Linked DNA regions of Daphnia pulex. The protein of the gene in region 1 purifies or fractionates together with the protein of each later gene. This does not show direct contact. Links are inferred from orthologs where the notes say so. Each region holds a gene or a part of one and is shown on either strand. Other genes may lie near its edges.

What was found.
Region 2: the proteins of prefoldin subunit 1-like (region 1) and prefoldin subunit 2-like purify together in Homo sapiens (affinity purification with mass spectrometry; 5 studies listed by BioGRID and IntAct, counting the BioPlex papers as one, with this or other methods). This does not show direct contact. The link is inferred for Daphnia pulex from reciprocal best matches to the Homo sapiens genes PFDN1 and PFDN2.
Region 3: the proteins of prefoldin subunit 1-like (region 1) and prefoldin subunit 4-like purify together in Homo sapiens (affinity purification with mass spectrometry; 5 studies listed by BioGRID and IntAct, counting the BioPlex papers as one, with this or other methods). This does not show direct contact. The link is inferred for Daphnia pulex from reciprocal best matches to the Homo sapiens genes PFDN1 and PFDN4.
Region 4: the proteins of prefoldin subunit 1-like (region 1) and prefoldin subunit 3-like purify together in Homo sapiens (affinity purification with mass spectrometry; 4 studies listed by BioGRID and IntAct, counting the BioPlex papers as one, with this or other methods). This does not show direct contact. The link is inferred for Daphnia pulex from reciprocal best matches to the Homo sapiens genes PFDN1 and VBP1.
Region 5: the proteins of prefoldin subunit 1-like (region 1) and prefoldin subunit 5-like purify together in Homo sapiens (affinity purification with mass spectrometry; 7 studies listed by BioGRID and IntAct, with this or other methods). This does not show direct contact. The link is inferred for Daphnia pulex from reciprocal best matches to the Homo sapiens genes PFDN1 and PFDN5.

The regions. Positions count from the first base shown.
Region 1 is NC_060021.1:7,365,462-7,368,471, forward strand, and holds prefoldin subunit 1-like, read left to right. Parts: upstream 1-1,765; 5' UTR 1,766-1,877; coding exon 1,878-1,916; intron 1,917-1,983; coding exon 1,984-2,235; intron 2,236-2,306; coding exon 2,307-2,408; 3' UTR 2,409-2,510; downstream 2,511-3,010. Other genes in the region: methionine aminopeptidase 1-like, read right to left, coding at 1-120, 215-280, 354-497, 577-708, 777-999, 1,053-1,228, 1,285-1,495. UniProt on the Homo sapiens protein: Binds specifically to cytosolic chaperonin (c-CPN) and transfers target proteins to it. Binds to nascent polypeptide chain and promotes folding in an environment in which there are many competing pathways for nonnative proteins.
Region 2 is NC_060024.1:9,271,686-9,274,709, reverse strand, and holds prefoldin subunit 2-like, read left to right. Parts: upstream 1-1,578; 5' UTR 1,579-1,665; coding exon 1,666-1,823; intron 1,824-1,922; coding exon 1,923-2,046; intron 2,047-2,109; coding exon 2,110-2,292; 3' UTR 2,293-2,345; downstream 2,346-3,024. Other genes in the region: aurora kinase-like, read right to left, coding at 36-209, 287-445, 508-642, 724-909, 1,041-1,108. UniProt on the Homo sapiens protein: Binds specifically to cytosolic chaperonin (c-CPN) and transfers target proteins to it. Binds to nascent polypeptide chain and promotes folding in an environment in which there are many competing pathways for nonnative proteins.
Region 3 is NC_060022.1:3,651,711-3,654,679, reverse strand, and holds prefoldin subunit 4-like, read right to left. Parts: upstream 1,477-2,969; 5' UTR 1,363-1,476; coding exon 1,324-1,362; intron 1,242-1,323; coding exon 1,137-1,241; intron 972-1,136; coding exon 822-971; intron 771-821; coding exon 618-770; downstream 1-617. UniProt on the Homo sapiens protein: Binds specifically to cytosolic chaperonin (c-CPN) and transfers target proteins to it. Binds to nascent polypeptide chain and promotes folding in an environment in which there are many competing pathways for nonnative proteins.
Region 4 is NC_060028.1:10,584,975-10,587,892, forward strand, and holds prefoldin subunit 3-like, read left to right. Parts: upstream 1-1,184; 5' UTR 1,185-1,254; coding exon 1,255-1,347; intron 1,348-1,421; coding exon 1,422-1,494; intron 1,495-1,562; coding exon 1,563-1,774; intron 1,775-1,833; coding exon 1,834-1,946; intron 1,947-2,016; coding exon 2,017-2,101; 3' UTR 2,102-2,169; downstream 2,170-2,918. Other genes in the region: guanine nucleotide-binding protein subunit beta-like protein 1, read right to left, coding at 1-758, 821-970; c-Myc-binding protein-like, read right to left, coding at 2,264-2,378, 2,446-2,547, 2,617-2,735. UniProt on the Homo sapiens protein: Binds specifically to cytosolic chaperonin (c-CPN) and transfers target proteins to it. Binds to nascent polypeptide chain and promotes folding in an environment in which there are many competing pathways for nonnative proteins.
Region 5 is NC_060023.1:2,200,073-2,203,308, reverse strand, and holds prefoldin subunit 5-like, read right to left. Parts: upstream 1,632-3,236; 5' UTR 1,482-1,631; intron 1,426-1,481; 5' UTR 1,391-1,425; coding exon 1,277-1,390; intron 1,209-1,276; coding exon 1,074-1,208; intron 1,013-1,073; coding exon 938-1,012; intron 874-937; coding exon 768-873; intron 708-767; coding exon 634-707; 3' UTR 580-633; downstream 1-579. Other genes in the region: 1-acyl-sn-glycerol-3-phosphate acyltransferase alpha-like, read left to right, coding at 1-167. UniProt on the Homo sapiens protein: Binds specifically to cytosolic chaperonin (c-CPN) and transfers target proteins to it. Binds to nascent polypeptide chain and promotes folding in an environment in which there are many competing pathways for nonnative proteins.

The DNA.
Region 1 (3,010 bases):
GAGTTAACACTTCGACACCTGTTTCGGTCACGAGCATTGTATGTTCGAATTGCGCAGATAGTTTACCGTCTTGGGTAACCGCCGTCCAATTGTCCGGCCATTGCTCATCTTTCCATACACCTAAGTAACATTAAAATTGAGTAGTATTAGTTTCTTGTGATAAATGCAAAAGTTTTGATTCTGAAACGGTAGGCAAGTACATTAGACCATTTACCTTCAGATATCATTGGCTCAATTGTGAAACAGTGACCAGGCTTCATGATTCCAACGGCTTTATTCTCTGTGAAAACGTACGTAAGTTACTGATCAAGTTTAACAGATGAGTAGTGTAGGGAGCAATGAAAGTCACGTACTTGCATAGTGAGGAATATTAGGTGCTGTGTGGAAAAGCTGGTGAATACCATGTCCGCAATAACTCCTAACAACTGAAAATCCATGGCTTTGGGCGTGTTTTTGAATAACAGCCCCAACATCGCGATACTTAACACCTGGCTTCACTATAGAGAATGAGGGAAAAAAATGACGCATGAAGAGTTTATCGGTAAACAAATAACTGAAAGCGCGAAGCTTACAAACCTATTTCGATCGCTTTTTCTAGACATTCCCATGTGACTTGCACTAGCCTCTTGGCAGACTCGCTAACCTGACCAACGAATAAGGTTTCATTCAGGTCACCATGAAATCCTCGGTGGTAAGCCGTTACATCAACTAATGAATAAAATCTTTTTAATAAACAAGGATAACACAAACATTTTTAACAAATGAATTATTATTACTGTTGCATATATCCCCATTTTGCATGGGTCTCTTATCAGGGATACCATGGCAGATAACCTCATTGATAGAAGTGCAACAGGATTTTGGGAATTCATAATAATTTAATGGTGATGGATAGCACTCCCGCTCAATGCAGGCTTCATGGACAATCCTATCAATCTCATCTGTTGTGACCCCTACGGCCACAGCATTTGCTGCTTCTTCCAAGATTTCTCTACCAAGCTGTAAATAATATTAGTCAATTGCAAATTTCATAATGGGCAACAATTGATTACCTTGCTGACAACTCTCATTCCTTCTTTCTCTTCATCACTTAAAGCCTTAATATAGGAACTTCCTCTAGCAGACTGTTCTCCAAGTGGATGTCCTTCAGGATGATCAGCATAATCTGGTCTAGCAATGTGTGTAGGGATGGTGCGTTTGGGGGTCTGAGGATATGGACGTAAAGTACCTAAAAAAAAAACTATAGATAGAGATAATATCCCAACACAAAATAATTTCACATACCGGTAAACGGGAAACCAGGCCAAGGATTGTACGCGACGGGCTCTGTCACTGTTTCTTTCTTGTGGACACTCTTATGCACATTCCAGTTTTTTTTGAAACATTCTTGTGTACAAAAGAACGATCCTTTAATGCCCAGTTTAATGCAAGTCGGGCATTGTAACCGGGCTTCTTGGTCACAACCTGGGGTTTCACAAAGAGCTCCTGCAGACATTATTTTCAAACACTTCGCACTTCAATCTTCAAGGCGATTGTTCGTCAATTCGTGTTCGATTCAGGATAGTCGTCTGCAAAGTTATCAGCACTAAACAACCAAACTATGACGTCATTTCACTTCCCCTTGGTGGCTTACAAAATTTTCGATCGTTTATAATGATTATCAAAATAAACATTAATCAGTTCAAAAATTAAAACAATTAAAACTTAATTTAAATAAAATTTTAGACATTAATACTTTCATAGCGATTTTTATAAAATGTGTGGACTCTGTTTAGTTTAGTCATGCTCTCCTCCCAAATTCCAAAATTGTCTTCTGCTGGTGTCACTTTTATAGTCCTGCCGGTTGTAATTCATTGACCCGTAATAATATTTAAAAAATGGCAAAACAAGGACAGATGGATCTTGAACTCAAAAAGGTTATTATTTTTAGTATTTTTGTCTTATTTTGACATCACATATTCATTCCATTATGACTGTTTTCAGGCATTTGCTGAACTACAGCAAAAAATGGTCGAGACGTCTCAAAAGCTCAAATTAGCTGATCTACAGATCGAGACGCTCAAAAGAAGTATGACACATGCACAACTAACTGACAAAGAAATAAGTCAACTTCCAACTGATACCAAAACGTATGAAAGTGTGGGTCGTATGTTTGTATTAAAAGAAGTAACTGTAGCACGAACGAACCTTGAGAACAAAATCAAAGGCTGTGAGGAGAAAGTGAAAACACTTGAGGTTAGATTTACATTAAATTTAATTGTGCATTTTTGTTTACATTTTTTTCTAATTTCTGTTCAATTAAAAAGGGAACTAAAGCATACTTGGAGCGCAGCTTGAAAGAAAGTGAGAACAACATTAGAGAAATGATCCAACAAAGAAAAGATGCTAACACTGGGGATCAACATTGAAGATTAAATGTTTTTTTGCCTACTTGGATACTTGTCTATGCTTTTTTTGTTCGTTTCCATCGATTTTTATGGGGAAACCAAAATAAACTGCTTAAAATACTACGTGGTTAGATTTTTACATAATAGATGGCCAAGGCAAAAGTCGTCTGCTGACCTTGGAGAAAAACTTCAATAACACAGAAAGAGCTGAAGTGAGAGTAAAAACAGTGATCAACAACAAGTTGGGTTTAAGAGACCTTTCGTTTTCAATTTTTGGCCTTGAATAAATCTTATTTTCTAAGGATGCTGACTGGCATCAAAAGGTAGGAATGAAATGAAATTAATTTTAAAAGATGTTATAAAGCAAACATGACGTCGATGTTCGATGACTCCATCGACTTCATTGTAAAAAAAATTGTTTTATTTTCTTGTTGTGTGTGTGCACAATTTGAACAGTTTGAACATGATAGGAATTTTATTTACACCTGTGATCTATTAGTCTTCACAACTTTGTAGTAAATTTAATAGTTTTGGTCTAAATTGCTGTTTATAGTTTAGACATATCAGACTTCATTGGATCTTCTTAGTTAATTTCAGGGGTGAACTAGTGAAAGAAGAGCTGT
Region 2 (3,024 bases), on another chromosome or scaffold:
AACCACATTGGCAAATTATGCGATAAAATTAATACTTGCAAATACGGCGGTAAGTGAGATCTTGCTTTTCCTCTTCAAAAGGAGGTGATCCCACTAAGAATTCGTAGCAAAGAATACCAAGAGTCCACAAATCTACACGTTCGTCGTGAGAGCGCCCTTCTACCATTTCGGGGGCTAAATAATCCAATGTCCCGCACATGGTTGTACGCCTATTGAACAAAAACAATATAACATAAATAACTTCGATTTGTTTGGTTCTACACTAAACAATCATATTTTACTTTACCTAGACGAAGGAGCATGGACGGACCAACCAAAATCGGCTATTTTAATTTCTCCATGAAATCCTAGTAAAAGATTTTCTGGCTTAATATCTCGGTGGATTACTTTCCGCGCGTGACAGTATATCAATGCATCAGCTAGCTGAGCCATGTAATTGGCCGTCCTAAAAATAGGGGTAAATTATTTTCCACAGAACTTATGTTTCTGTTATTTTAAAAAATTTACTGTGGTTCAGAAAAACGGCCATTGGGTTGGCGTTTCAGGTACTTGTACATTTCTCCATTTGCGGCGAATTCCAAGATGAGGTAAATACGAGTTTCATCATAAAAATATCCGTGCATGCGTAAAACATTGGGATGTCTACAGTAGAGTCGCAGAAAAGGTTGATGTGCATTAGTGATATAAATTTTCCATAAAACATGTGATCTCATTAGTATGTACCGTAAATGTGACTGGATTTCAATTTCACGTCTCAACTGGTGTTCCATCTGACATTTTTGTAGTTGAGATTTAAACAAAACCTTCAGGGCTACAATGTATTTGGTATTGATTTCTCTAGCCAAGTACACATTTCCAAACTTCCCTTTACCAAGAGGACGGCCAATTTCGAAGTTATCAAGACTCCATCTGGGTTGAAACAAACAAGCAGAGAAACACACATGATTTGGAAGATTAATGCCACAATTAAAATATTTAAGTCAAGAAGATAAATGAGAAACACTTTGTTGGATTCTGAAAAACAAAAAATTCTAACATACTTTGAGTTTTCCAACTTAACAGTAGGTTGGTTTGAAGAGTTCTCTTTAAGTGGCTGCTTGGTTTCCATGTTATCTGTCAATTTCAAAATCAAAACATGAAACATTTACAAAAACACGAAGTTCAAACTTACTTATTCACTTACATTTTCGTAAAAAACGTTTAGATTGGTCTAAATTTTCAAAATGTGTTGTAATTGTATATACCTGTATACCAATGTCTAAACTTCTAAACTCTAAAACCCTAAACCGTGGTCTACTACGGTGCTGCTGCTACTGGACGGTTTTGGACAAATGGGAAAATATTCAAACGGCAGAACAACCGGCGTTGCCGGTATGATGGTATTATGGAAATATTTTCGCCTCCTCCGTTTGTCGTTTTTCTCAGATTTTCTATAGACTTCGTCTTCGTGTCTAAGACTAATTTATTATTAAATTATTTCATTATCATTAAGACGATTATTGTTCTCGGTGCTCTGCAATCTGCAAATAGGCCTAAGTCAATTTCGACAATCGTCGATCGTCGACTTCGCTACATTCTACCGCTAGTCTCAAATAGGAACTAGGAGGGTAGGAAGTAGAATAGCCTGAAGTTTGTCTGCTGCTTAGTGCTTTTGATACGTAAAAAATGGCGACTGACGGAAGCAAAAAGCAAGCTAAAAATGCTCCGAAAAATGTTAGCAAATCGAATGAAGAAGTCATCCAAGGATTTCAAAGATTACGAACTGAACAGAGACAACTAGCTAGTAAATTATCTGAGCTCGAAATGGATCTAAACGAGCACAAGTAAGTTTTACCGGTTTCACTTTATAAACAGACTTCCATAGCGTGTAGAGGATAATTTACTCCTACTATTAACTATGTCATATTTTTTTTCTTACTCAGACTAGTAATAGAAACCCTTCAAAATGTGGATGAAGACAGGAAGTGCTTTCGCATGGTTGGTGGAGTACTAGTTGAACGAACTGTCAAAGAAGTTCTGCCTGCACTGACATCAAACAGGGACCAGGTAACTTGTTTTCATATTGTATTATTTGGTTGTAATTTTAATTACAATTTATTTTTTATATAGATGACTAAAGTAATTGAAGTTCTCAATAATCAAATTTCCACCAAGGGACAAGAAATTAATGACTTCAAGGAAAAGAATAATATCAGGATACGAAATCAAAATGAACTCCCATCTACAGCTCCTGATAATGAAGGAGAAAATAAAGTTGCCAATCAGGGGGTTTTGGTGGGCACCAAACCTTAACTGATATACCTTGTTTTGTATGCTCTGCTGCTGAAGAAAAATCAGAAAACATATGTTTTGCTTTTGCTTATTTTTATGAATCTAATACTTTCATCTGCTCTACTATCCTAATGGAAGGTTAGAGTACTAAACAATCTGTGTGATTTACCAAGAAAGCTTTTAAGAAGCTTAGCTATTCTAACTTTTGATGTATTTATGAATTACTAGCAGGAATTATTCTATTAGATTTCTATTGAATGCACAATAACTTAGTTTATCTCTGGTTTCTCCGAAGAGCGACAACGCTATAAAATCATATGGATTTGAGATCACACCGGATTTTAAACCAATAATTTTTGCTGCTGCGAACTGTTTAGTTTGTGTGTAATATTTGAAAAGTCAAAAGTGTTCCCCACAAAATTGCTTTGGCGCAGTTCTCCGTAAAATTTGTTTTACAGATAAGTAAACAATGGTGATCAAAATATTTAATTTATTTTCTAGGTGAAAAGTTGGTCTAGACAGTCTACTTATGCAGTATACACCAAAACGATTCGACGACGATGTGTGGGAATTGGTCTCGATGTCAGGTTAAATTCTCATCGTAAGTTTGCTCTCTTTCTTTGTCTGCTCGCGGCTTACTATCTAAATAGATTAAGCCAGCCAACCAAGGATTTTATTATTATTTTTTTTTTTACCGGGACTTTCTTAAAGAAACTGAATTAGTGAACAAGACAACTTCTTACAGTCATCGTT
Region 3 (2,969 bases), on another chromosome or scaffold:
AGTGAGCGGCGGCACGGTCATGACGTGACAAGCTTCGCAAACCCACCGTCGAACGGATGTAATGAGCACAATAACGGGAAGGGAGGACTTTATGAACGTGCACGATCCGGATGATGAAAAACCGGCCATGTGATGGACAGCCGAGAAAACTAAGTCACTGGGTCAGTCAAGTGACAATTTCCGATTGGTATTCTTCTGAACCTATTGGGTAGTATCAACGATAGTCCTCTCTGCAGGTCGTGTCCAAATGAGGTTAACACGGACGAATACATAAGCAATAACAATCGATTATTTTACGAGGTCGTGGAGCTCGAGACTGAGAGAGAAAGGCTGGAAAACCGTCCGGTGAATGGCCTCTACGAAACTAAAGAGGTACCGAGTGGTAGCCAGATGCAGAGGCGTCGTTGCGGAGGTGCAAGTCAAGCGTTACATTTTCTTCGCAGATATTTTTAGTGTTAGGGAAACTAGCTAAAAATACTTTCTTTAGCTTTGTTGTTTACTTTTCTCTTTGTGGCTTGAGAGACAATTTGTTTCTGTCAGTGCTATCAAAGACTGTTTTTTTCTTTTTTGTATTGTTCTTCATTATTATAGTGGAGAAAGCATTTTGGACGTTTTCTTTATTCCTCTTCGGCTTCTAGGTTGATAGAATTACCGAATTTGGCGTACAATTGCGTCTTCAGATCGCTCATCAAAGTCTTGATGTTTGTGCATTCAGCTTCGATGGCTTCAATATCTTTTTTCACTTTGTCTTTTGCTTCTTCAAGTTTCTCCTGTGATAAGTCAAACAATTAGCGATAAGCAGTACTTTAACAGCGATGCACAATTGACAGAAGAGGAAAAAAGAAAATCACCTTTGCCTCTTCCATGTTGAAATGAACAAACACTTCACCTACAACGAAAGGAATTGGAGCTGATTCATCATCAACCAAGAGTAAATCATCTGAAGCATCCTCCAAGTTTTGAAGATCTCCCTGAACAAAGCATAGAGAAAACGAGTAGCAATGCAGAATTGTAAGTTTCAACGTGAATCATGAGCAGAATGCGAAAATATTTCTGCCAGCACATTTATGACACATAATAATTTTGAAGACTTCACACACATTACGAAAAGAAGCATGCAATAGAAAGAATTTCACCTTTTTATTTTTCAGATCATCCCTGAGCTCCTCCCATTTTGCATTGTGTCGTGCAAACCGGTTGATTTTCTGTTGGTCTTCCAATGTAATGTGAATGTCAGAGTCCTAAAATAATTTCAGTTACTTTAACTACTAGAAATTGGCAACACGTTAAGCTATAAATTCTTAAGTCAAATCATTTTCTTACCGATTCAAGAGAATCTTTAGAAACTGCTACTGAGGCCATGATGTTTTTCTTGACAACCCCTACGTAGCAGACGACGCCTATTTATCGATTATTTCAATCGATAATGATATGCTGGTTGCCATTATTCAAATTACTATTCTTTTTAGGATTTTTATTTTACTGGATTTAACAAGCAATTTCTTTATGGCACATTTCGTTTTTATTACTTCAATACTACGGCATTATTACTTCAAGAAAAATCGTCTTTATCCCAGGTGCATTGACCACTGGGAAAGTGAAAGGGCTATTATATTCCCTATTAAGTAAGGCCTACACGGCTTTCATAATTGTTAGCTTGCTCCATAAAATGTGTTTGTGTAAATTCACGCGCTTAAAGAGAAATTTTCTTCGGGTTTCTATCTTATTATTACGATACTTACTAGAAAATTATAATGAATCCTGATGGGTTCTCGGATTTTCGAAAAAGATGTCAAGCAAAAACATGTTGCAATGCTCATGAAGAAAGTCGTGCACGTGAAAGTAATATTATGGAAATCTGAAAAAAAAAATGTAATAAATAACGAAGATGTCTTCTATTTGTTTTTGAGAGCTTTTCTTTTTACAATAAAAGCAATATGAACACGTCTAAGTAAGCGGTTTTCTTTGTGGCGAACTTGCCATATTATATGCAGTTGCCCTGCAGATCGATAGCAAAACAAACAGAACGCAATAGAGACGAAATAGTTTCACATGTTTTAACCAATCATATCAATCTCCCCTTTGTGCGTCAGAGCCCGCAATAACTGAGAAGACGAGTTTTATCAACTTATGGAACAACAACTGTTTGATTATTAAATATTTCCTGGCGAATTCCATCACGCTATACGATTCACGAAAGCCACTTGAAATGTACGTTTTAGACAGAAGGCATCCGTCCTCCTGTTTCGCTTCATTCACATATCTCAACGTGTTTCTCTGTCGTTTTTTTATAGACCTTTATGTTCACCGAACAATCGACAACAGCTGCAGAGGTGGGTTTTGCGCGTTGACAAGTAATTTCCTCATCAAAGTGTCGTTTACACTCGGTTGTGCGGTAGCCTGTTATACCAGCGCACTTTACTTAATGCGGTCAAGCAACCCGAGCGTCCCTCTCATCCGTAAAAACAGCCGTGAATACCGAGTTGCTTAACCTAGTTAGCGTCAGTGCGCAGTACGTACAAAGAAGAAGAAAGCGTGATAAATGGTCTTGTTAAAGAGTAGGACGTATTGTGGGTTCGTGTTGATACATTAATACCTCATTTCGCCGCCATTAGATCCGCACATCATTTCTAAAACGTTTCTACTTTCTGTGAATTCATTTAAATGATGAACTTTAACTTGGCAAATGCGTAATAAGTTGGGTAATTTAAAGCTCTTTGAAAATGATGCATAACTTTATTTTTATCAAAGTTTTTCAAATAGAATAAATATAAAGAAAAGGCTTTTTATGGCTGGTATATGCCAGCAGTGAAATGGGAGAAAGCCGCGCGAGATCCTTTTTTTTGTTTATGGCGTAAATCTAAATGGAGAAAACAAGACTGGTCTGACAAGAAGGAATTGACAGGAGGAAGATTTAAAGTTTCCAAGCTGACTTAATAGGATCCCCGAATAAAAAGAGAAAAGATATA
Region 4 (2,918 bases), on another chromosome or scaffold:
AGAGAGTCGCTACCTCCGGCGGCCAACAAGCCGCCGACGCCGCCGCCGCTTTGACCCATGATGAAGACCAGGCTGTTGACAGGGCCGTCGTGAAGTTGAAGGACGCAGAGCTTTTTATGAGTTCGGGCACTGAAGAAGCGAATGCGATGGTCCCAGCCGGCTGTTGCGTAGAGACGCGGGTCGGATAGGCGGAGCGCCATGACGTTCAGTCCGGGATTGGTCAGCACGACAGACTTGAGCTCGGTTAGGTCGTCGACGTTGAAGATGTATAATGTTTCGCATGAAGTTCCTAATAGGAGTTCATTACGCTGAGCATGATGCCCCAAGCAAGTCGGCATGCTCTTGACCCTTGTTCGATGGAGTACAACGTTCTCGTTCCAGATGCAAATGCATCCACTTTCATAGGCGGTTACTACAGTCGTCTGTTTCCCCAACAATTTAATGGCCATTAATGCTCCTTCGTCGTCGTCGATCGTTAGCGTGCCGGTACGGTCCAGCGACGTCGTTTCCTGACTGATGTTGAAGATTTCAACTGAATTCTTCTTGGCAGGGATGGCTATGATGTTGGCCCAAAGGTCACACTTGCAGAATCCTTCATGAGTGACTAGCATCCGATGAACTGAGATTCCTTCTGCATTCCAGATGATGAGAGATTCATTTCTTCCATGTGAAATTATGTAACCAGGTCTGTCATCCAAAGCCCCAATCCACACAATTGTGGCACTGTGAGCTTGCCAGGTCTTGGTTGGTCGATAAACCTGAATTTAAAAGGTGTTTCGTCATTAGACAATCAATTTTAAGCAAATCAATTTAAGCCTACATTTAAATTCCAAATAGTTATGAATCCAATCTCTGATCCACTGACTAGATTGTATTCACCATCCTCTTTTAGTCTTAGTGCAGCTAATGCAGTGACTGGTCCACTTGGATTGTGCAGAATGTGGACTGGATCTGGTGGTGGTTGAGCCATTTTGTCTTTAATAACCAAATTTGTTTAGTTTCCTAATGCTCAGCTATAGTAGATGATAAGAACTGACCTCAAATAAATGTATCCATCGACAATTTCGAATTAAAAAGCTAATTTTGTTTTTGCATGTCTCACGTCAAAAACTTTCAAAAAGTTGTTTTCTTTTTGGTTCTACAGGTTCACCAGCGCCATCTATGGTGAATAATACACAATCCGTACAAAATCGGCTTTTTACATTGCAGACTAAAAAAACCTTTTTCTGTCTTCTAAAAGCAAAATCTCCAAAAATGGCCTCGACCGCAGCATGTGAACCTATCGAAGATAGTCTGAAATTATCCGGAAAAAAGTCTTTTGCTGGCATTCCCGAAGCTACCTTTGTGGTAAATATCGTTTGTGAAAACACCATGTCAAATTTCTTTCCGTTCAGTGCAATATCAGTTTATACCGGTGACAGGAAGATGTAGACGCTTACATGAAGGATCGTGAAGGGGTGGAGTCAATTTTGCGGCAACTAGACGAACAACATGGTATGTTATTTAATTAAGCCATAATGTATCTTTGCCATGCTTGTTAATTTTATCAATCTTTGTTACAGGAAAATATAAATTCATGGAGCTTAACCTTCTGGCACGCAAAAAGAAGTTGAAGAGTCAAATTCCAGACATCCAAAAATCACTTGACATGATTCAAGTGCTGGAAGCAAAAAGGAAAACTAACGAACAAATTGAAACTCACTTTTTACTCTCAGACCTTCTGTACTCTAGGGCAGTTATTGAACCCACAGATAAAGTCTGCTTGTGGCTAGGGGTAAATTATACCATTTAAACTATACAAGATTGCAAACTAATATTCTGTTTATTTTTCAGGCTAATGTGATGTTGGAATACACTTTAGAAGATGCTAAGGCTTTGTTGGAAAAAAATCATGAAACAGCTATGAAGAATCTTGCACAAGTACATCATGATCTGGACTTCCTTAGGTAAGTTTACTCTGTTTGGCTTGGCTTTCCCTAACAGTGTAACTTTAAATGTTTTTTAAAATCTATACAGGGATCAGATGACAACAACTGAAGTGAACATGGCTAGGCTTTACAATTGGGATGTCAAGAGAAGACAAGCCCTGAATGCTAAATAATAATTCTTTACAGCTAGCATGAAAGGAAACTACTGCAATTGTTCACAATAAAAAATTTTGCTTCAGAATCAAGTTTTTTATTTAATAATGAACATGAAATACATAATAAATGAGTTAAATGTCAAGGCACAGAAGGTAGTGATTTGACAGATGGAAGTGGCCTCAATTTATCTGTTCATCATGATCAGGTGTACTTTGTTCAGAAGGTTCCTCCTTACTCAAACTTTCTACAGCCAAGTACTTTTGAAGTTCTGCAGACAGCCTTTGATTCTCCTCCCTAATATAGAAAATGTGTTCGGTATTCTATGGCTGTAATCATTGTGTAATATTAAATAGCGACTCACTTCAACATCTCAGCTTGTCTCCGAGCAAAATGCAATTCATTCCTCATGGACTCCAGTTCAGCCTGATCGGGATGGGCAACACTCAGGTGGGTTTTTAGGTACCTAATTATGTGAGGAAAAATCTGTATTGTAATAAGTGTTATATGTGTAAGTAATCAAATTCATTGTTACATCAATGCATCATTTGGTTTCTCTGGCTCTTCATAGAGTCCAACCAAAACTTTTGTCAGAGCGTCCATGACTCCTGCCTTCTCTAAATAACGACGAAATTCGTCACGTTTGCTTTCCATTTCTTGATCAGTTTGTATTGAAAATCGTAAAACGGTTGTTTAGAAGGTATGATTTAAAACAAAATCAATGAAATTCTTTCGAAGTAGGTACGAAATACCAACACGTCAGTAGTGATTTCAAAGGGAAATCGAAAGAGTTAAAGACACTTTAACCGATAACTTAACGGCTAATTTTAACTGCTG
Region 5 (3,236 bases), on another chromosome or scaffold:
ACCCAGGTGAAATTGTAATGACCGTATTACCACCAGTGTCTACTAAAGGCATGACAATGGAAGATTTACCTGAGTTAATGGAGCGAGTGCGCAACATGATGTTGGAAGTGTATCAATCCTCTTCTGACGAAATATCTAATGCTAATAATGCTCAACCTTCTAGTTAAAAGCTCTGACATAGACTAAATCCGCTGGTCTGGACTAATGTTGCACCGCTTCAAAAGTGAGAAATTTAAAGTGTAACAATTGATAATTTTTTTCTGTCAAGGCGAAAAAATGTGCTGTCTAGTCCCCGTGTAGACCTGAATTCCTAAATTTTTTTGTCCCATTTCCAATGTTCGGTTTGGCAATTTTTTTTAACTACTTTTTGTGTGTTAACTTCGCTGTTGTTGCGTATGTTCAATGGCCATCAAGTTTATCTGCGACCGGGCAGGTACAACGATGCACAAAATCGTTTTTTCTATTGGAAATCTCCCTTTTTGTACTCCTCCATGTTATTAACAGTGCAAGTTTAACTGTTTGAGACTCAGCAGCTTCATTACGAATCGAAATAAAAAATTAAAGCAATGAAAATGTCAATTTGTTGATGATGAAATTTTATTATTCATTTATTATACTGTACGGATGGTCTGTTTAAGCGCGAACTGCAGCCTGAGGGTTGGCGGCAACTTGGGCTTGTACTTTCAAATCCATCACTTCAGCAACAGCTGCAGTAAAAAAATCTTTAGTACATAGAGAAAATTAAAAATAATATCAAAGTAAATTACCATCTCTGACTTGACTCTTTTCAATACCAAGCATCTGTACTTTCTCCATTTGTTCAGTAACAAACTTTACTTTACGTCTGAAATAACTCTTAGCTTGTTCAATTGTCTGAACATTAAACAATAAAACTTAGTAACCATTTCAATCTTTTGACAAGATTATCAGCACTTACATTCTCTGCATAGTAACCGGTTCCAATATCAATCAAAGGTTGTTCTGGTTTACTGATTTTTCCAGGCACATACATCTATCAAATATAAGGTCTTATACCAAGAAATCATATGTACAATTACTTTAATCTAGCTTACAGATCCTGTGAGTGGAACAAGTATAGGTGCACCTTCCTGGGTAGATTCTAGTTTCTCAGCACTTTCAGCTGATTCTTGAAATTTTGTCTGTGCAATTTTCAAAGTCTGAAGAGAATCTTGGTACAGGCTTAAATCCTATACAGTCAAAAATGAAAGAAAGCAGTTATAAATAATTCTATAAAATAAAATAATGAAATAATGACTTGTTCAAGTTGCTGCTTTAACTGAGACAGCTGTGGAAGTGTCAAAGTGGTCAAGTCTATTTTCTGCATATTATCTCCTCCTTGGGCTTTATCTTTTTGTGCATTACCAGCCATTTTCACAGGTGTGTTACTTGATTGGAATCTATCAACTTAACGAGAAATACAAATATATAGAACCGCAAAAATTCGAGTATTTTGGGTGTACCTTTAAAAGGAAATGTCCACCACCACCAGTGTAAAAGAGCAGACGACGTGATTTAAAGGTTTGGGCGTTTAGCATTTCTAAACAGCATCTGTTCTTATAAGATGGTTTCAGAGAAAAACACCTGAAAATGAAGTCACAATTATTTATAGAAATATTTCTAAAGCCTTCAGTCATTGAGAATTCACGGAGAAATTTTTTAAATCATGCATCTTGTTTCTAATTTGAGACTTGAATTCTTTTTTCAAGTTGCAAAAAAATAGGAATAAGTATAGACGGATTGGATTCCTTGTTATTGTGATTGCGAAATATTCAGCGTTGAAGGAGCCAGAGGAAAAAAACCGGCCTCTCGGCGACAGTCTCTACTTCATCGGTATCAAGATCAGGAGCGATCAGGAGTATGAAAAGGGCAGACAGTGGTGCGTTTTCCGACCTTCCGTCATGAGTTGACGATTTCTTCACAATCAGTCAGACGACAGATACCGGGTGACACGACACGTGCCGCAACGTAAGACCGCTATATATTTCCAATCGTCTACAATCATCTTGCGAGACACACAGAGAATAGTCTGAACTCTTATGGCCTATTGGCTACTGGAAAGGCAGGAATCCTTCAGAACAGCAAAGATCAATGTACTGGGGGTCACCGAGCATCAAAATCTGCTGGCCAGTCCAGGATGTAACTCCCTTTTATCACTTTCGATATCTCGATATACAGAGGTTCTTGATATACAGATATTGTGTGGGCGGACTGGAATCTGACTAGACACCAGACAGAGCTCTCTTTTACTGTTACACTGAGACTAAATAACATTTTTTTAATTTGACAGCCAATAAGGACACTATAAGCTGCAACTTAACTAAGCGATAAGAAAACGTTGCTTTTTAACGAACAGGACTCGATAGTCTATGCACAACGCACTGGCACAATTATGCTTACCATTCACACAATGAATACTTTCAGAATCAATTACTAGGATGCACAAGTCTAATCAATAACTTTTAATGAGGAACTCAGGATGAATTGAATATGTAATGTATAGCATTTTTTTAAAGTATTTTTGTGTATCGTGTCAAATATTTTACATGAAGAAACAAGCGAAAAATTTAGACTAAATGCATTAAACGATATTATGTTTTTCTGACTTCTTTGACAATATTAAAAATGGGTTGGTTATCCATGGAATGCTGATCTAAAACAAGATTTTTAAAAAGTAATTACCAATAACGAAACAAATTATTTTCCGATATTCAAATTACCTGAATTAATTGTATCGGACGGATCTCATCAAAGAAGAACAAAATACAATTATTTGAAAAAAAAGGTGACTTAACCGATATTCGGCCGGCACTTTCCTGTCTGCGTTCGGCGGCTACCGGGACCACAAGGACGCATTCCGGCTACAGCGACGGATCTACCTGATGGGGATCTACTTTCGGCTTCCTTATCTTCCAGATTCCGTTCATCAATTTCGTTGCCCCCGTGATGAGGTCTCCTACCAATCTTAAATGCTCTTAATTGACATCCGACGGTATTTGTGGCGTAACGCTCTAGCGTTTCATTTTCGGAACAAGGTCCTTGGCTCCCCAACAGCCAACATTGTTTTTCACTTGCTTCACTCGATCCTTCATAATCGGGGCTCCAAAATACGTAGTGTCCGTCGGCCAGGCATCCGTCTGGAAGCGTTTCGCACGACAGTATTCCGTCGTCGGTTAACGTAAACCATTCTCCATCTTTACACGGTCCCTAATCACAGA